4 linked regions of the Arabidopsis thaliana genome follow. The protein of the gene in region 4 interacts with the protein of the main gene of each other region in a pairwise test. Each region holds a gene or a part of one and is shown on either strand. Other genes may lie near its edges. The genes, in order: AT5G43560, PSBP-1, Lhca5 and AT-HSFB2B.

Evidence for each region.
Region 1: the proteins of AT-HSFB2B (region 4) and AT5G43560 interact in a two-hybrid assay, tested with the Arabidopsis thaliana proteins (one study listed by BioGRID).
Region 2: the proteins of AT-HSFB2B (region 4) and PSBP-1 interact in a two-hybrid assay, tested with the Arabidopsis thaliana proteins (one study listed by BioGRID).
Region 3: the proteins of AT-HSFB2B (region 4) and Lhca5 interact in a two-hybrid assay, tested with the Arabidopsis thaliana proteins (one study listed by BioGRID).

What each region holds. Positions count from the first base shown.
Region 1 is NC_003076.8:17,498,818-17,506,242, reverse strand, and holds AT5G43560 (TRAF-like superfamily protein), read right to left. Parts: upstream 5,868-7,425; 5' UTR 5,690-5,867; exon of another isoform or gene 5,205-5,689; 5' UTR 5,201-5,204; coding exon 4,908-5,200; intron 4,830-4,907; coding exon 4,741-4,829; intron 4,662-4,740; coding exon 4,593-4,661; intron 4,522-4,592; coding exon 4,389-4,521; intron 4,203-4,388; coding exon 4,044-4,202; intron 3,854-4,043; coding exon 3,505-3,853; intron 3,378-3,504; coding exon 3,265-3,377; intron 3,014-3,264; coding exon 2,863-3,013; intron 2,767-2,862; coding exon 2,309-2,766; intron 2,231-2,308; coding exon 2,035-2,230; intron 1,875-2,034; coding exon 717-1,874; 3' UTR 530-716; downstream 1-529. UniProt on the Arabidopsis thaliana protein: Functions redundantly with TRAF1B in the regulation of plant immune response. Contributes to the turnover of the nucleotide-binding domain and leucine-rich repeat-containing (NB-LRR) immune receptors SNC1 and RPS2.
Region 2 is NC_003070.9:2,045,657-2,049,983, forward strand, and holds PSBP-1 (photosystem II subunit P-1), read left to right. Parts: upstream 1-1,977; 5' UTR 1,978-2,283; coding exon 2,284-2,530; coding exon of another isoform or gene 2,531-2,534; intron 2,535-2,640; coding exon 2,641-2,873; intron 2,874-2,963; coding exon 2,964-3,014; intron 3,015-3,269; coding exon 3,270-3,530; 3' UTR 3,531-3,783; downstream 3,784-4,327. Other genes in the region: NIH (nuclear DEIH-boxhelicase), read left to right, coding at 1-130, 217-1,677; AT1G06690 (NAD(P)-linked oxidoreductase superfamily protein), read right to left, coding at 4,086-4,271. UniProt on the Arabidopsis thaliana protein: May be involved in the regulation of photosystem II.
Region 3 is NC_003070.9:17,177,409-17,181,333, forward strand, and holds Lhca5 (photosystem I light harvesting complex protein 5), read left to right. Parts: upstream 1-1,841; 5' UTR 1,842-1,944; coding exon 1,945-2,129; intron 2,130-2,201; coding exon 2,202-2,334; intron 2,335-2,419; coding exon 2,420-2,532; intron 2,533-2,612; coding exon 2,613-2,809; intron 2,810-2,888; coding exon 2,889-3,031; exon of another isoform or gene 3,032-3,122; intron 3,123-3,206; downstream 3,207-3,925. Other genes in the region: AT1G45403 (uncharacterized protein), read left to right, coding at 396-466, 569-1,007; AT1G45545 (WEAK CHLOROPLAST MOVEMENT UNDER BLUE LIGHT-like protein (DUF827)), read right to left, coding at 3,207-3,925. UniProt on the Arabidopsis thaliana protein: The light-harvesting complex (LHC) functions as a light receptor, it captures and delivers excitation energy to photosystems with which it is closely associated.
Region 4 is NC_003075.7:7,040,696-7,045,224, reverse strand, and holds AT-HSFB2B (winged-helix DNA-binding transcription factor family protein), read right to left. Parts: upstream 2,872-4,529; 5' UTR 2,220-2,871; coding exon 1,866-2,219; intron 1,778-1,865; coding exon 998-1,777; 3' UTR 825-997; coding exon of another isoform or gene 670-824; 3' UTR 517-669; downstream 1-516. Other genes in the region: AT4G11670 (DNA topoisomerase 4 subunit B (DUF810)), read left to right, coding at 127-222, 319-493, 670-824. UniProt on the Arabidopsis thaliana protein: Transcriptional regulator that specifically binds DNA sequence 5'-AGAAnnTTCT-3' known as heat shock promoter elements (HSE).

The sequences.
Region 1 (7,425 bases), on a different chromosome or scaffold from region 4:
TATATATTGTCAACATTTTCACCTACTTTAGATAGTAGATACACATCCGAGATAGATAAAGGACATGTGACACATGAAAATGTGTGAACAATATAACTATAATATTAATAACTTTTCAGGAAAAAAATGATAATGTTTAATCGGGCAAGTCGTGGGTGGTTTGATTACGGTATGTAGACCGTAGGCTCTCGTGAATTAATCTAGCGTATATTTCTGAAATTGGTGGCCATTTTACGTAAGAAATTATTGCCCTAAGTTTTCTTCCACACAATCTATCTTTTAGTTATACATTTTATATACAAATCATAATATTTTTCCGTGGTGAAGTCTTTCATCTAAAAAAAGTGTTTCGATGTCATGCAGGTCATATATATCTTCTGCCTTTTTTTGTATTGAATATTTTTGTGGAAAGAAAAAAAGACAACCATTCATATATGAATAGTTCAAGTTGACTTTGTTCGTCATAGTTCTATCCACAACCGCATTTGCATTCGCACATTTAAATACTCCAAATGAAGATAAGCTGACTCTGAAACTTTAATTTGAGGATCAATTAACTTAAAAATTGTTATATTATTAAAGAAAATAAAACCTATAGAGAAAAAAGGATTCATTTGAAACGAAGAGGACGAAAACTCTCTTTACACAAATGTTTTTTGCTTTCCATCTTTATATAATAAACATTACAATGCAATGCCACTCTTTAAACCCAAACCTCAGTGTCCGTTCGATGGCCTGAAGTCCCTATAGCCGTTGATTCCAGACAAATTCGGGTTTGATGAATCTAAATCAAAGTAAGAGTAAGTAGCTGTTGCTGATGCTGATACATCGTCTTGGTTCCTCATAGCCGGTAAAGAGAAATCCATATTTGCCATCTGCCATTGCGATTGTGTTTGCCCATTACCATATGGCGAGGAAGAAGCAGAATGTGGCATGTATTCACCGTAAGACTGGTGAAATCCATCATCACTGTAACTCCTAGACCTGCTAGAGATCCCGAGATCCGCACCGCCATGATATGAGTACTGGTTGTTGAACTGTTGTGGTACACGGTATACGCTATTATCCATTGTACCGTGTTCGTCTGCAAGCAGATCATTGATGATATCAAGGTGAGGGAACTCATCGGTCATCAGACTCTGTGCCGTTCTCCCTATCTGAACATTAGTAGGCCTGATGCTGGTAGTTACTACGGGTGCGTTGTAAGTGTTTGTTTTGTGATTCCCGCTGATGGTTGTTGTTGTATCTCTGGTTGAACTCGAACCACCGGTCCACAATAGCCCACCAGAAGAAACATCCCAAGAGCCAACATTGATAGGGAAACCAGACTGATTTGATACTGAGATAGGAGACGGATGTGAATAAGGCGGCAATGTGCTTGTTCCACTCGATTGAGAGCTTGGGTGGGTGAAACCAGATGAACCCACTATGGCATGTTTGTAGGATTGAGGATTGTAAGCTTGGCTATGTGTCGGTGAACCTAAACGCCCTGTTGAGCTCATTGAACGAGCAAGGGACGCAGTCGAGGTTTGAACAGCAGATATTACAGGTGCAGCTTGCGTTGGAGGGATTATAGGAGCACTCAAAGGCCTTGACATAGGAGGTGCTGGTTGTTCCACAGGTTTCGGAGAAGCGATTTTCTGTATATCAGCTCTAGGACCCACTGTTTGCAACTGAGCTTCACGAGATGGTGATGCATGATGTGATGAAGGTGATTTAACAGATATGACTTTCCTGTTTGGAACCGCCTCTACATTTGAAACACCCTTTTTCTCCGGTTTTGCTTGCACTGGAGACGGAGGATTCCAAGGAGCAGCTCTGGATGGGGAAAGTACCGCAGCACTTTTCTCTTTCATCTGAATCATGTTGGGATCCTGCAAAATAAGATATAGTCATTCAATGTTGATAAGCATATCACTCTAAAATGGATTGAAAGGTAAACCAACACGAATTCTTTGGAATTTAGCTTCCCTCTTTTATATATATAACTTCCAAGTTCCAACATTGCAACTTCAAAAGGAAAGAGTAAACCACCTTGCTAACAGGACTACGTTCCTTAGGGCTCTCTGGTTTTTGAATGTGGGAGATAACTATGTCAGCTTCACCAACTCTGCGTATATCAGAAGAATGGCTCTGATTTTTAGGGTCAGATGCAAGTCTTGAAGGTTGATGCTCTTTTTCACTGGCTAAACTGTTGGAATCAGATACTTTTCCTGGTTGTATTTTTCCACTGCACATCACAAGGTATGTTATCCGGATGTGGAACAAACAAATAACTTAAAGGAAAGTTCAAAAAAAGTTTACTTACTTGCTAAACCACTTTTGGCTTTGGCAATTTAATACATTCCCTTTGTATGACCCATTGGCTACCCCTGATTGAATCGAGTCATTAGAACAGGTTGAAGAACTATCATCCATTGTGGACAGACCCTTTCTTTCTGCAACTCCATTAGGTATAGAAAAAGAATTGCCTCTTCCTCTGCTAGTGTCTCCTGCAGAAGGAGGATGAACCTCTGAGGCATCCATTTCCCAATGAACAGGACTACTCTCTCTATCTTCTGAATCAAGCTGAAGTATTTCAGCTGAACTATCTACTGAATCAGACACGTCAGAGACATCTCCAAGTGTGTCAGGTTTTTCAGCTGACGATTCTGCTATCGCTCTCACACATTCCTCTTTCTCAATTTCCCTTTCTTCTGTTTGGGTTCTCACCTTGTCTTCTTTCCTCATTTCCTTTCCTTTGTTTTTGTTCTTTTTCTGTTTCGCCTATGAGTTCCAAAACAATAAGAATCTCCATTAGCACCCCAACTAGTCGTTAATGGCATTATCTATTTTGGAAGTAACAGAAGTGTAAGGACGGACCTGTTTCTTCTTAGATTTCTTCTCTTTTTCAGATGCTCCTCTTTTGCCCTTCTGTTCGCTTTCTGCCAGCCACGCTTCCTCTTCTTCACGAATAAGTTCTTCTTGCCTTTTCCATGCAATAGCTTCTTGGTATGCAACTTCAATTTTGTTGCTGCATTTCTCAGAAAGATTGCAGTGCTATACATGAGGTACAGCTAAGAACACAAAGACACACAATACCAGAAGACCAGAAATACAAAATAAACACTATCAGCGGTTTCAGAATAAGATCGTCACGCATGTCTTAGCTTGTAAACAAATTATGTGCTTATGATTCACTTGTATGGAAATTTTAAAGCAAAGGCAAAATTATGCCTGGTGCACCAAATAAAAAAACAAAGAGGAAAAATTATGCCTTATTACCTGAAGATATGTGCAAGAACAAATATCTCCACAGTCCGTCTACCCAATTCAGTTAAACGCCTATCATCACGCTCAACGGCTTCTCTACTGAATTCCTCTCCAGCATTCCCATCCTAGATAAGGACAAGTGCTCATGTTTCAAGCATTTTTACATGTATAACAAAAAGTCAAAAAGCACCACCACACAGGAGAGTAAATCATGAACTTCAATCAATAAAATACAATAACAAAGAAACTAACCTTCGTACGGTTTTGAGAACTCTTTTCCTCTTTTTTAGGCAATGGCTCCAGAGCAGCCTTCTCTAAGAGTAATAACACATCATCAACTAATGCAAACGAATCTTTGTCCACGCTAACAATTGGAGCTGTGGATTCTTCAGTATCCATTAGTCTCGGCCTACTCTCCTTGTTCTTATTTTGGCCTTCAAGAGCCTTCAATCCACTATACAAGGAATCCATCACCAAAGTAGATGTAACTTCCTTCTCGACAAAGAAGTGTTTTACAACTATTTTTAGAATCACATCCATTTTCTCTCGGGACATTCGACGCCTTGAATTTTGGTCCAACCCCATCCAGAAAGCACAGAAGCTGCACCAAGAAATAACAATCACTTCCTTATCATGCAAACACCTCAAACTTTGAAGGAAGATTAGCAAGAAGTAAAAAAAAAAAAAAAAAAGTGCAGTACTACACTAGATTGGAATCAACCCAGTCTCTACAGCTATTTTTGATTTCATTTCTGGAATTTGGAGGAGTTGAGTGTAAAAATGTGGAATACCTTTTCCATTTTGCCTTGTCCTCTATCAACCTACCAAGCTTGCTTCTTTTCTCTTCCACAAACCGCCAGCAAATTTGCTCTACATTTCCCAAATACACCCTAACAAGTTCCTCCCTATATTTATAATGAAGGCAGCGAAAAGGTCGGTCCACTCTCTCTCTGCAAGAATCAATTTACAGAATTATCCACAATGCGACAAATAAAATCAAATAAATTGAAGCGAGCATAAGTTTTGTTGCAATGTGCATATTTGGTCAGGAACGTTTTTAAACACGTGTAGATGTATGTTAATGGGAGGATGTCTGACACATGATGACTTTAGCTAAAACTCAATCTTGCATTTACCTGATCACCTGCACTTGAGCTTTAATTGTAAGACAACCAGAATCATCTATAAACCCTTCCTTCAATTTAGGTAACTCAATAAATTTCTTCCAACCCCAATCATGCTCTTTCTTCCAAAACCGGTGTAACGTATCTGTAAGAAAACCCTGTTCAGTTCGACTGCGTAAATACGATATAAAGAAATCAAAAGATGCAAAATGTAACCTGAATGCTTTGACTTCTTCGGATCTTTATTCGACACAGCTATAGTAAACTGAGCAAAATGACTCCAGCCTGTCTCAAAGATAAACCTAAACGATAAGGTTCCCGGTTTCAAGAGTGTGTAGCTAAATAGACAACACAATATACTCACCTGGAAGAAGCTTTTCATGGTGTGCAACACATAGAAACAAAGAGAGATGGTTGCAAACATCACACCCTTGTGGATAAATTAATATATACCTACACCACCACCACAAGAGGAATATCAAACATTTTGTTAAGGAAAAGTACTCAACAAGGTTTAGTGATCATTCTTACCATTTGTAACCCCCGACTTCAAAAACATCGCCGCGGAGCTCTCGTTTGTTGATATCTGAAAATTTCTCAATCGTCCAAGTATTTTTCCCAAATAGTTGAGATGGTTTTGATCCAAAATCGTCATCATCATCGATGTCCCAATACGGTGGAGATGTAGAAGGAGTTCCATTCTCAACTTGTTCAGAAGAACGCCACTCAGCGATTGCTTCTTCTGATTGACTTCTTTGTCCATTTGAATTCTCTTCCAGTGATGATCTTCCTGCTCCACTATCTTCATTAGTACTCTCTGACATTCCCCTGATTAAGATTTCATCATACTAAATTAGTTAATGAATTCAAATAAGCTCAAAATTACGAATTTATCATAATCATCATCAAAACAAAGAATTATAGCTGAAGTGAATCAAATCTAAATCACAGTCACAGCTCAACAAAGATTCTAAATCAATCACTCACTCACATGAATCAAATCAATACACCAAAAACCTCAAAAACTATATAAGAATTGAGAATAAACCCTAAAAACAAAAAGCAATCTTAGAAACTAATAAAAACAAAAGCTGGAGCTGAGGAAATGCAAGAGAGACAAAATTATTCGATTCAATTAATTGAATTACAGAGAATTTACAAACAGAAAACATTGAAAAAAAATTCGATAAATATTTGAAGAAATCAGCGATCGGAAAACTCAAAAAAAAAACGGCACGAAATTGAAATCGGAGAAGTAAGGAAGAAAGATTTGAAGGAGACGTGTAAACGACGCCGTGTAGATCGAAGCAAACCTGGAGATGATTGAAGAAAGAGCTTGGAGATCGTTAGAATGAGATTTTAATGGAAGCTCGCTCTCTTCAAGATTCTAGAGAGAGAGATAAAAAAAGAGACGGAAGAGAGAGAAATGGAGAGATTGTAAGAAAGAAGAAAAAACACAGCGAAACAGAGAGAACAAATTTTAACCTTAAATTTAATTTGTTTTAATAGTTATTTTTTCATTCATGACATATTTATATATAACGTTCATGTTTTCATTTCTGCTCTGTTCTTTTTTTATCCATTTTGTATTACAAGAGAAAGAGATGAAATCATCAATATGGTAATAAGAAAACTAATGTCTTTTCTTGTCATCAATTAGTTTAATCTATATTTTCATAAAAAGGCAAACGAAAGATTTATTATTTTTTTACTTAAAACTTAAAAGAGAAATTTTATGTATATTTAAAAATATATCCGAGAAAAATTATTTTATATATTAAAGTATTTAACAGAATAACCAAACGAGATATTAGCGTTTTGAAATATGTATATCAAGAGGAAAATATTTTACATATTAAGTATATAACGGAATAAACAAACAAAATTTCTGTTTTTTGTGATCTTTTCTTAATATTCTATGTAAATTTTGCGGAAAATATTTTATATATCAAAATTATCTAACGGAATAAATCTACGAGATATACATATTTTACTTAAGAGAAAACAATTGTTACATTTAAAAAAAATTACATAAATCAAGCGGATAATTATTATGTATACATTAAAAGCATCTAACGGAATAACCAAACGAAATTCATGTTTACTTAAGAAAACAAAATGTTACCTTTTAAAAAAATCCACGTGAATCATGCGGGAAAATATTTTATATATTTCAATTATTTAACGGAATAAAACAAACGAGATATTAACGTTTTACTTAAAAAAAATTTGTCTTTTTTGTCAAGAAGAAAAATAGTTGTTATCTAATGGAATAATCAAACAAAATTCATGTTTTACTATAAAAAAAAAACTATTGTTAACTTTTAAAAAAATTCCACCTGGATCATGCAGAGAAATATCTTATATATTAAAAAATACTTAACTTTGTTTTGTTTTGTTAAAGAGTTTTATTAAAGTACTTAACATACTAAATAAACGGTATATTAATGTTTCACTAAAGAAAAAAAAATTGTTATCTCTTTAAAAAATCGCATAAATGATAGATTACACGAACACTGATTTTATATCAAAGTAATATTTTGAGATTATTAATTTATAAATAACAGATTAGGACTTGTATTTGTGTTGATAAATTATATTTATTTTTTCAAGTTATATATCTGTATTTTGTACCACTATTTTTCATTTTTTGTTTGTCTCATGTCGATGTCTAAACTCTTTTTTAAACACTCTCTCATATTTATTAGACATCTCGATATTAATAAGTATATTTAATAAATAAAAAAATTCAGCAGAAAATTAAAAAATAGTAAATTTGATGTCACCTAATTATGAATTACATGTAAGCTTAGTTACTTTTCCTCTTGAGTTACTTTTATATCATGATAATTAGCTTATTTTAGTGCCTTTTAATGTCTGTATACATAAGTAAATTAATATTTGTAAATATGTATTTTGAGGGGAAAAAAAAATAATTTACAGTCATTGGAATTTGGTAGATTCGAAGGGCTTGAAAGCAAATTACTTGAAATTGAAAGATAAGAACTTTGAATGGGCTATAAGCCGTTCGTAACCCATTATCGTTATA
Region 2 (4,327 bases), on a different chromosome or scaffold from region 4:
AATAATGCTTGGGCCGGAAAATTCAGTAAAAGTAGTAGTGGATCGGTGGCTGCCTTTCAAGGTTACAGCTTTTGAAATTGCTCAAATGTACATCTTGAGAGAGAGACTAATGGCGTCCATTTTGTTCAAGGTACATGAGTTATCACTACGATTTAAGATTTTCATTATTTTATTTTGGCAATGTCATCCTTTTCAACCTTCCATATGCATTTGTAGGTTAAACATCCAAAGGAAAATTTGCCGCCTCATCTCGGTGCTTCTATGTATGCAATAGCTTCTGTTCTCTCATATGATAGCCTCGCACAATCTTCAGTTCAAACTGTAGCTGTGCAACCTATTACTTCAGTGGTAGATGCAACGAGTCCCAGAGATGACATACCTTCCACTAACCCCAATGAGCTTCGGGAGCATGACCCGAACACTACTCCAATGGGGTCAAAGCTCGAATTAGCCAACAAGTTGGGTTTGGGTAATATGGAAGAGAGCTTGCCTTCAAATTTCGCTGATGGGAATGAGCAACCTGACCCAAACACTTCTCCAGTGGAAGATGTTTCGGCGGCTACAAAACAAAAGAAGATGCAGTCAGAGTCCAAAAGGTGCAAGTCGCTCAACAACGTGGATTTGGGGAACATTGAAGAGAATTTCGGGAACATGGAAGAGAACCCACCTTCTGATCTGGCTATTGGGAATGAGCAAACATTGCCGAAGTTAGCTAGCAACTTGGACATGGGGAACATGGAAGAGAACACGCCTTCTGATCTGGCCAATGGGAATGAGAAAACAGAGCCTAACTCAGCCAACAGCATGGATTTAGGGAACATGGAAGAGAACACGCCTTCTGATTTGGCAAATGGGAATAAGAAAAAAGAGCCTAAGTCAGTCAGCAAGTTGGATCTGGGTAGCGAGAAAGTGAGCATTCCTTCTAATCTCGTCAATGGAAATGAGCAACATGACCTAAACATTGCTCCAGGTGAAGATGCTTCAGCGGCTAAGCAACCAGAAAAGAAGCGATCCAGGTCTAAAAAGCGCAAATCAGGCAACAACCTGGATTTGGGGAAGATGGAAAAGAGCAAGCCTTCCGATCTGGCAAATGAGAATGAGCAAACAGAGCCCAAGTCAGCCAACAACTTGGATTTAGGGAATATGAAAGAGAACACGCCTTCGGATCTGGCTAATGAGAATGAGCAAACAGAGCTTAGGCTACCTAACAACTCGGATTATGGTAACATGGAAGAGAGCTTGCCTTTGAATCTTGCTAATGGGGATGAACAACCTGACCCAACCACTGCTCCAATGGAAGCTGCTAAGCAACCAAAAAAGAAGCGATCAAGGTCCAAAAAGTGCAAATCAGTCAACAACCTGGACTTGGGGAACATGGAAGAAAACAAGCCTTCTGATCTGGCAAACGGAAATGAGCAAAAAGATCCTGAGTCAGTCAACAGGTTGGATCCGGGTAAGGAGAAAGAGAGCATTCCTTCGAATCTTGTCAGTGGGAATGAGCAACCTGACTCAAACACTGCTCCAGCTAAGAAACCAAAAAAGAAAAAGCGCAAATTAGCTAACAACTTTGATTCGGTTAACAATATGGAAGAGAAAATGCCTTCCACTAATGTATTGAGCCAGGGAAACAAGTCAGGTTTGATTGAGGAAAAACCGAGCATACCTTCCGATCAATGAGCAGTGTGGCTCAAATACTGCACCAACCTAAGCAAAACCGAAAGAAGAAGGGAAGTATGATGCCCATTCCACTTTGGTGTTTTAATGAGCATTTCGGTGTTTGTCATGAAACCAAGTTTTGAAATGGCACTTGTCTACATAAGTGTAACAGATTCTTAATTTCAACAATTTTGTTAGATAATTTGTATTCATTCTCACTTAGTGCTTCCGTTGTTCTATCGTTATAAACGTTTTAAGATATACGCATGTAACTGAAAGAAGAAAAGCCATTATTGATCCAGTACTGTAGTGTCTTAGTGTGAGCAGAAAAAAGATTTGATCATGGAATGGCTTTAGAGTAAAATACTAAAATAGATGGAATCGAAGGCTTATGAATCTGACGTGGAACAAGAAGAAAGCGTATCTGCCACGTGGCACAATACAACACCTCAACAGCCTTATCTGGACATCAACAGAGAGATCCTCCAATATCCGAAACCAACCAATCAGCTTCACTCTTGGTTTCACCTCCATACATTAACACACCAACAATCCTCAAAAAACACTTTCATAACTTAATCACACACAAGGAGAGAAGAGAGAAAGAGAGAAAGAGAGACAGAGATAATGGCGTACAGTGCGTGTTTCCTACACCAGAGCGCATTGGCTTCATCAGCCGCACGATCATCATCTTCCTCCTCATCCCAGCGTCACGTGTCGCTCTCCAAACCTGTTCAGATCATCTGTAAAGCTCAACAGTCTCATGAAGACGATAACTCCGCCGTCTCCCGCCGTCTTGCTCTCACTCTCCTCGTCGGCGCCGCTGCTGTTGGTTCCAAAGTATCTCCTGCTGATGCCGCCTACGGTGAAGCTGGTGCGTTTATAAAATAAAATAACCTTGGATCATTTCATTTTCTTGAAGAAGAATCTTGAAGAACATATTGTGTTTTTTTCATCCTATTTTTATTTTTTGGTTTGTTGCAGCAAACGTGTTTGGGAAGCCAAAGACGAACACAGACTTCTTGCCATACAATGGAGATGGGTTCAAAGTGCAGGTTCCAGCAAAATGGAACCCAAGCAAAGAGATTGAGTATCCAGGACAAGTCCTTAGGTTCGAAGACAACTTCGATGCTACTAGCAATCTCAATGTCATGGTCACTCCTACCGACAAGAAGTCCATCACTGATTACGGTTCTCCCGAAGAGTTCCTCTCTCAGGTCTTTGCTTTACTCCATCATCTGTAAAGGTATTGATGTTACAAAATCTAATGAAGTGTGAGACTGAGTGGTGATTTGGGCTTTATGCAGGTTAATTACCTCCTAGGGAAACAAGCTTACTTCGGTGAGACTGCCTCTGAGGTAAACTTCCCATTGTTATTTGTTATAAGTAAACCAGAAGCTGATAGAATAGAATAAGAGAATCAAACACTAAAGAGAGAACACATTGTCTCCCTCGTTGTTAACTGATAAAACAAAACTCAAAAGCTTTTTTAACTGATAACCTTCAAAGACCTCTCTAGTAGTCGATGATTATTACAAGAAAGATTCTTACCTTAGGTGGAGTGAGTTATCAAGTTCTAACTCTGTGTGTGTGTGAATCTGATGTTCTTACAGGGAGGCTTTGACAACAATGCAGTGGCAACAGCAAACATTCTGGAGTCATCATCTCAGGAAGTTGGTGGGAAACCCTACTATTACTTGTCTGTGTTGACAAGAACGGCTGATGGAGACGAAGGTGGGAAGCATCAGCTGATCACAGCAACCGTGAATGGAGGGAAGCTTTACATCTGCAAAGCACAAGCTGGAGACAAGAGGTGGTTCAAGGGAGCCAGGAAATTTGTCGAGAGCGCAGCCACTTCTTTCAGTGTTGCTTGAGTGAAAGCAACACAACGTAACAATGCTCTGCTTGCTTTCTTCATTTGTCTCTTGTAAAAAATGGAAAATGAAACTGAGCTTTTGAGAACTATCAAGATGATGTTACCTTTTCGGCATCACTTGTGTACCTATGATAACAGACTCGTTTTCCAAGTTTTCTTAAAAAACAACTATATTCAATAGATATTTTCTCAAATTAATAAGATATTGACTCAGAAAGAAGCTATAGACTAAATCTAAATCCTTGAAAGCACAAAGATAGTGAGAAGAAAGCCTGCTTGAAGCTGATATGAAAAGAGGTAAGCATCAAATGGTTCTTCTAGTCAACAGAAAGGTTAAAACGCAGATGAATTTTGACGTCTGACTCTAACTAGATCTATTGAAGCATATGCCAAAGGCCCTCCTCTTTCTTTTTGGCTACTGTAAAGTTCTCAAAGAGGCAAAAAGATTTTATTTGCATATGTATTACAACACTTTACCATCATCTATATACTACTTTTAGTTCATATTGTAACTTTTGAGCTTTACAAATGCTACAAACAGAGTGTTAAGAGTTCAGAGATACTCAACAGGGAAACCAACGACGGGTTTTATCTCAGAGGCCAGGGACCGTAGCTCACTCACTTCATTGTCTGTCAGACTCCAACCTATCGCTCCAGCAAACTCTTTGGCTTGTTCTGCGTTCTTGGCTCCTGGGATGGGTATCACGTTCCCTTGTGCCACCAACCAGTTCAATGCTATCTGCACAGCACAACACAACAAAACAAGAAGGCATATGATTTGATGCAAAATCGAGG
Region 3 (3,925 bases), on a different chromosome or scaffold from region 4:
GATATAAATTTTGTAAAAAATAATTACTATAAAAAATAATAATTAGATTGTGTACTGATCTTTTGAATCAAAAAGATTTATGTACTTAAAATAAAAGGAACATACAATAATCAGAAAATATTTGGTGTATTCTTCTAGAATTTTCTTTCTAAATAAATCATGCAATATTGCAAGTTTTGGAAGATTTTCAAATATTTGATTAAATATCAAAATTGATTGCAGACAAAGAAAAAGGTAAGCACAATAGAGTTTTCCATTTGTATTCATCCCACTGGGCCTTGGAATAGAACTCGAGAAATTAATATGTATCCAACGAAGGAAAAGAAAATTTCACAATCCGGCTTGGTATAATAATAATAAGTTTGTGCGATTGTACATTAATTTGTGAAGAAGCCATGACTACTACTATGGTTGATGATGCTAAGAAGCCTGTCTATGAATCTACTAGCCTCTTCCGTATTTGGTGGTAATATCAAAGTCGATTTTCTTATCGATTCATTACTAGAGAACAAAATTAATTCTCATGATTCACTAATTTAATTTTTTTTCTTCTAATTTGTTAATGAAGGACGAACAAGAACCTACAATACGATATCGTGATGACTTGCATCCTCAAAATCCTCAACATTGCAGCGAACTTGTATATGACACACCACAAGATTCCCTTAACCGCAGATGAATCATCTTTGACGGTTTGCTTACTAATGTACTTAGTGTGCGGCATGATGAGTTTCATGGGGTGGTGCATGGCAATGACTGCTGTTGAAGGTTATGACATGTACATATGTGGACGCATTGGTCACATCTTTGGCTTGAGTGTTCTCCTTCACCTCCTCTATTCTATCTCTCCAAGTTTGGCTCTATGGTTTGGTATCCCATCGTTGTTATGGGTCTTTGCCGCTTTCATTGAAGCTCTTTATGCATTATGTCTACCCCAACTATTTAAAGCTTTAAGAGATCACTGGGACTATTTGAATCAACCACTCCTCAGAGTTGTTAATGTTTAGTTTCTTCTCTTTAATTTATATGTCTTGAATTTTCTTTTTAATCTTAAAATATTTCACGGATATAATCATTTTTCTTTATAATTTTATTTTTCTTCATATATTTTTTTTTTTGGTGCATGAAAACCAAATATAATATTTGATTTGAAAGTAGAGACTCATCTTCTTTCATGATTCAATTCTTTGTTTTGTTCCACAAGGCTGATTCTTTGCAATATAGATTGCTATAAGTTTAGGGCTTCAATAATATTGGTGATATTAGGCATGGCCATAATAACCGAACCGAAAGAACTGAATCAGAACTAAAACAAAAAGAACTGAACCCGAACCGAAATGATAGAATACTCAAATGGATCCTAAATTTTTGAATCAAAATAATCGGAACCGTACCCGAACCAAATCGAAATATTTTGGTTATCTGAAATATTTGAAATATGATTATAAGTATTAATTATTTTTAGATCAAATAATCAAAAATATCTAAAATACCAAAATTTACTCGAAAAATATATAAAAATACCAAAATCCGAAAAATACTCGAAACTATTCGAAAATACTCAAAATATCTGAAATATCAGAAAAATACGAAATAAAATATCTGAATGGATCCTAAACTTCAAAACCGAAACCGAAAGAACCAGAACCAAACCCAAACCGAATTGAAACTGTTTCGGTTCATATATGGATTCTAAACCAACCGAACCGAAAGAATCGGAACCGAACTGAATACCCGAATTCCCAGGCTTAGGTGATATGATAATATAAAAAAAAATCATATTTTTTATCAAAATGAGAAAAAATAATAATAATAATATGAATACAAGAAATGAAAAAAATGACTAGTTTACGTGGATCACGTTACTTCACAACTTGCCGATAACAAATAAACAGAGTCAGAACAGAACAAAAACGTAAGCAAAAAAAAATAAAACAGAGCAAAATGGCCGTAGTTTTACGTGGAGGCATCACCGGAGGATTTCTTCACCATCGTCGTGACGCTTCATCCGTCATCACAAGAAGAATCTCATCCGTCAAAGCCGCAGGAGGAGGCATCAACCCAACGGTGGCTGTTGAACGTGCCACGTGGCTACCTGGACTAAACCCTCCTCCTTATCTTGATGGAAAGTGAGTTCCTTTTGCCTCCCATTTGCAAAAAGGACTAATATACTAATCTCTTGTTGTGTTCTTGAAATAAAGTTTAGCTGGAGATTACGGGTTTGACCCACTCGGGTTAGGAGAGGATCCGGAAAGCTTGAAGTGGTATGTTCAAGCAGAGCTTGTTCACTCTCGTTTCGCTATGCTCGGTGTTGCAGGAATACTCTTCACTGATGTAATCACTAATCTTAATCATTTACTTAAATGTTGAAAATGGCTCCAAATATGACTAACTTAGAGCTTTGTTTTTGTTGCATTAGCTCCTTCGGACCACAGGGATTCGTAATTTACCGGTTTGGTATGAAGCTGGAGCTGTGAAATTTGATTTTGCTAGTACAAAAACTCTCATAGTTGTACAGTTTCTACTTATGGGGTAATGAATCAAACTCATTATCTATCTTTATTGTTAACCAACAAAAGCTTAGAATGGTTCTGTTTTGTTTTCTTCACAAGGTTTGCTGAGACTAAAAGGTATATGGATTTTGTCTCTCCGGGATCACAAGCCAAAGAAGGATCGTTTTTCTTTGGACTTGAAGCAGCACTCGAGGGGCTCGAGCCTGGATATCCCGGAGGACCGCTTTTAAACCCATTAGGCCTTGCTAAGGATGTTCAAAATGCTCATGACTGGAAGCTTAAGGAGATCAAGAACGGTACTAGACTTACTTTGGTTTGGTTACTTACTCATAAAACTCTCTTTGTGGGACATTGATTGATTGTTTTTTTTAACAGGTCGTCTAGCGATGATGGCGATGCTCGGGTTCTTTGTTCAAGCCTCTGTGACTCACACTGGCCCTATTGATAACCTTGTTGAGCATCTCTCTAATCCATGGCATAAGACCATCATTCAAACCCTCTTCACCTCTACATCTTAGGTACATTCTTTTGTAATGAAAAATTCGATTATTCGACAAGTGTATCAATACCTTTATTTCATTTAAGAGTACAACAAATCTGTTCTAATCAACAAACTTAAAAGTTCACTGTTCTCTCTCAACATACAAATCGAATATCTCGAGAAAATAACAATAAAACCTACCTGTAAGAAACTTACTTGTTGGATGACTTCTTCCTTGACAAGAACATGAAGACTTTTGGTAACAGAGAGAACCTCTTCTTTTTCTTTTTTGTTTCAGTTTCAGGAGTCACATTACTACTGCTTGCTTGTGGGGTCACATTACTACTGCTTGCTTGTTCACCAAATGTAAACGTTGTTGGTTGATGCAAAGCCGATTTAGACTTGCTTAAGTTCTCCTTATTTCCTCCCTCGGGGCTTCTATTCCCGTTATCCGACCTCCATTTTCGCAACTCGTGATCCATACCAACCTTCCCATCTCTAGCTTTCTCAACTTTTGTCATTGCTTCTTTTAGCTCTACCTTTCTTATAGCTGTTTCTCTACTCACTTCCTCTAGATTTTCCAAGATTCTTGATTCCTCTTCCTTAGCCACCTCGATTTTGGAGACGATCTCCGCTAGTTTTCTATTAGCTGCCTCTTCTACCTCATGTGCTTGCTTGCTTAGCTCATAATATTCCTCCACTGAAATTATTATGCTTTTTGGAGAACTACTAATGTCTTCGATTTTGTTAGCATATTCAGTCTCTTGCAATGCTTTTATTGCAGCTAAAGCTAACTTCTCAGAAGCTCTTGAAGCTTCCATTTCCTTTTTCGACTCCATTAACTGTCTTTCTACCGCAGAGAGTCCTGTTTTCGCTTCATCGGACTCTTCCTTCGCCTTTCTTAGCTCCTCTCGAGCAGCTATCGCAAGTG
Region 4 (4,529 bases):
CTAGAAACTAGATTTTCTACTTTGATTTTGAGGTTCGGCCATTTTGCATATGAGAACCGGGTCTTGATCCGTGGATTAGGCAGTTCCAATCTGTGTACTTAACCTACGGCGTGTGTCCCCTTGTAGGAGTTCTTCATTGCCGATGGGGAGGGACTTCCTCGTTCACTAGTTGAGCAAGAAGCGAAACAGGCGAAAGAGATCCTCGACTTGTACTCTCTCGAGGTAAATATATTTTGCTCACTTGCAAATTGCAAACTTAGTTCCTTTCTTAGAAATTATGAGATACCAAAGTGTTACGGATTATGTCCGTTGTGGCAGAGCGATATGCTAATTCAGATGCTAATGACTGCGAGCGAGCTCATCAACATGGGGGTGAGTTCAGAGCAGCGGCGCTTGGAGGATGCACAAACTCTTGTTAGAGTTCTTTGCCACAAGAAAGATCGTAACGCCTCCAAATTCTTAAAGCGCCAGTACGAGCTTCCTATGTCAACAGGTAAAAACACACACACGACCACTAGAGAACTTGGACCATCTTTAAATAAGAGAGATAAATTTCATTAAGATCATTACAAGTCAGAGAGCTACAATTGTTTTGAACTCAAAAGAAATGATTCTGTATCAACATTGCCATAACTCTTAAAAACCATTGATTCCTGCTATTTGTTGCAGAATATGAAGATGTAACATTGAATCTGCCTGCTTTATCCGAAATCGTGAGAAGCACATCCACTCACTGGAGCACAGCAAGCCAGAATAGTTTCAGTTCCATCAAGAAGAAGATTCAGGAGGCAACATCTGAAATCAGGAACAACTCAGGATGGTAGAATCAGTGTTTTTAGATACTTTTGTACTACCCCAACTCAATGAACATCTGTCCTCTTATGACCGAACACATCCCCATTTTCCGTCCGGGACAGCGCAATGGCTTGCCTATGCAATGGGGATCAGTAACAGTTTCTTGCATATTCAACAATGCCTCTGAATCGGCAAGTGTTTTTCATTTTCCGAGTTCAAGCCACGACCCATTATGGTTACCGGAGTTATTCTCCTCCATTGGCTCTGCCTTAACATCAGAACTTTGTTCTCCCTCTTGGGCAGCAGCTTCTCGTCTATCATCATCTTCTTCCTCTGCAGCACCCAATTCTTCTTCTCTTCTAGCTCGCTTGACCCCAATAGAAACCCCAAACAACCTTGGAGTCAAATCCTCACCAAGTTTCAGACCAATCCCTGTCTCTATTTCAGAAGCCATAATGGCTTCACTCATCTCTTGTCTCTCCGGTAAAAGATCTAAAGGTTTCCCTTCAGGTAACAAATGCGCACAATCTTCTTGACCCGGTGTGAAATTCGCCATTAATGTGTAGATATTCGCATACAATCCTTTAAGCTTTGTCATCTCTTTCCTCAATCGCTCATTATCTTTCCTCAATCGCTCATTCTCCTCAACCAGCTCTGGTGCAGTGGTGCAGCTCGTTGTCCTCTGCAAAGAACCACCACCAACCACTCCTCCTATAGCAGCAGCAGCAGCCGCAGGCGAAGAATTAGACGATATAACCTGTTCTTCTCCAGAGTTCGATGGAGAAACAATATGAGCTACAACAGGAACAGCTGCTACTGTAACAGCCGAAGCCGCTACGGCTGCCGCCGCCGCTGCAGCAGCCGCGGCCATAGCAGGCTGAGAGATTTTCCGCCGTTGAATATCCCGAAGCAGAATCTTCTCACCTCTCTTAAAACAATCATTAGAAAACTCCCAACGATCTGGAACTACTTTTCGAAATCCCTAAAACCAATAATAAACCAAAATAAGAGCTCACTACTAAAAAACCTAATAACTGAAAATTTCGATTCAAACGTATATTGAGACTCACGTAAGTATTGAGCTGACGAACAAAACTCGAGAAGTTATTATGTTTGAAGTATTTGGGAAGAAGATCTCTAGCGAATTCAGCTGGTCGCCACACAATAAAAGTGGTTCCATCTTCGTTCCACGAGATCAATTCGTCGTAAACCGGATCTTCCACAAGCTGATACGTTTTCGTCAAAAACGGCGTCGGAATTGACCTCTGTGAATCTCCTCCTCCGCCACCACCTCCACCACTACCACCACCGCCACCACCAGCACCACATCCACTACTTCCACCACTATTCCCGGCGCTACAACCAGCTCCACCGCCGCCAACTCCGGCCACCGTCGGAGTTTCTCCGGTTTGTTCCCCCGGCATGAGTTATAGATCAAAAATCTAAACTTTCCTTAATCCCAATACCCAAATTAAGATAATGATGAAATCTACCAATGGGAATGAGCTTTGAAGAAAGTTGGAAACATAGAGATCTCAAAACAGAAACTAGACAGAGAAGAGAAAGGAAACGTCTATCACAGACCCATTAGAACCAAATCCAAAAACTTCTCTATCTCTCTCTTGACGTAATCTACACCAACCAAGAAAGAAAGAGATTGTCACAATCCAGATTGAACACAGAGACACACGATGATCACGAAGCTAGAGATAGAGAGAGAGAGAGATTATGTTGTGAAGTTCCAGAATGTTCTGAGAGGAACGTATTGATAAGAAAGAGAGAGAAGAGGAGAGACAGATCGGAAGTTCCAGAAGACAACAACAAAAACAAAAATAAAAAAAAGAGAACGAAGAAGAAGAACAAGGGTAAAGTTGGAATTTAAAAAAGTGAAAAGGGGACCACAAAGAAGGAAAGAGTATAGGAATGCGCTAGAAGAGCGTATGTGGCTTCCTTTTCTTTTTCCAGAAGTTTCTCTTTTTTCTTCTTTTTGTTATTTCCTTTTTTGACCCTGTGAATATGTGAAACGCTATCTAGATTTTCATAACATTTTTGGTAATTAATGTGAGTGGAATAAAGTGATAGACTCGAATTGATTATTCTGAGTTGACTCTTTTTTTAATTACTTTTCTTATGTTTTATGTTCAACATTAATTATGAATTCAATATTTGAGATTCGTTTATCCAATATTATAGTCTAATTGTAATCATCGTAAAAAGGAAACAAATATCTTAGCAAAATTGTAGTAATAGTGTCATTATCCAGATTTTAAATATAAAGTTTTTATGATAAAAAAACTTTTTAAAAAAAAGAGATAAGTTGGAAAATGTATTCTTTTTATATAAATAAATTGCAAAATATGTAGTTTTTTTAGAAAAAGAAGAAATAGATAATTTTTTTTTTCCTTTCTAATACAATTTTTTGTCTAATAAAAATTTTAGTAAAAATACTTATATAACCTTTTGTTATTTGTTAGGTAGTAAAATATAGACAAAACTCAAATCAAATTCTACTTTTTCTCTTTTTTTTTTTATTTAAATATTTTTACTTTGTTTGATAATAATTTTTCATAAAAAATTACCACATAATCATATTAACTTTTAAAATTTTTATGTGAATCTAAAAAGTCTAATTTTGCTATATTTCAAAAATATGTAACACTTTTTTATTTAATCCCAGCCGACGGTGTATGTGATATTGTTAAAACTGGTGTACAAATGTTAGTGTACGACAATAATGTAAAAATTAACATATAATACTGAGAAGTGATAGACTCAGTATAATTGTGTACAAAATAGTGTAAAGAGATGATGGAAAATATGGTGTACATGATCGTACAGCTTTAAAGATCTATGAGACAGTGTACTAACATTGGTGTACGAGATATACACCACTAATTGAAATAATGATTTATACATTTCCTAGAAGTGTACACCAAGTTTTGTACACTTTGTCTAATAATCTTGTATGCTATCATTTAAAAGTTGTATACATCATTCTATCCATCAATCGTCATAATAGTTTCAATCATTTTGTACATCATCAAAAATACTTTAATTATGTACACCATCATGTACACTATTATATTGAGTAATCATATAAGGTTTATACAATCATTATGTTTATAAGAGAAGTCGGTGTACTTAATGATTTATGAAATATCAGTATACACATTTGTACACCAACGAATAATGGTTAGTGTACAAAACTATGTTTGAAATGTTTGTGCATTGGATTGATGACATATAATTACTCTAAAAGTTAATGTAATGTTTTTTAAAAAGAATTTATTATTTAAAAAAATATTTTAAGAAAACTAAAATAAAAAAATAAAAAAAATAAAGACAAACAAAATAAAGTACAAATGGTCTCTCATATTATTTTTATTAGCTCTCAAGATAAAGGGTATTTTAGTATTTGATATGTATTTTGTTTTTTTAATCTATTAGACATATCCTCTATCTCACAAAAAACAAAAAAGTGTCTATCTCTCTAATTTCTAAAAAAAACTATCCACTTTACAAATTATTTATGAAAAAGTGTCTACTTTGCCAAGAAACCCAAAAAAAAATCCAGAAAACGTAAAACAATCGATTTATGATGTATTTTCATAGTCGAAAGTCATGAATTTGAATTGTATACTTAACATGTATAACTTTCGGTAATCTTTAAAAAAAAAAAATCTAAATGTCTTAAACTATTTGCAAGAAATGACAAAAAAAATATATTATTTTTA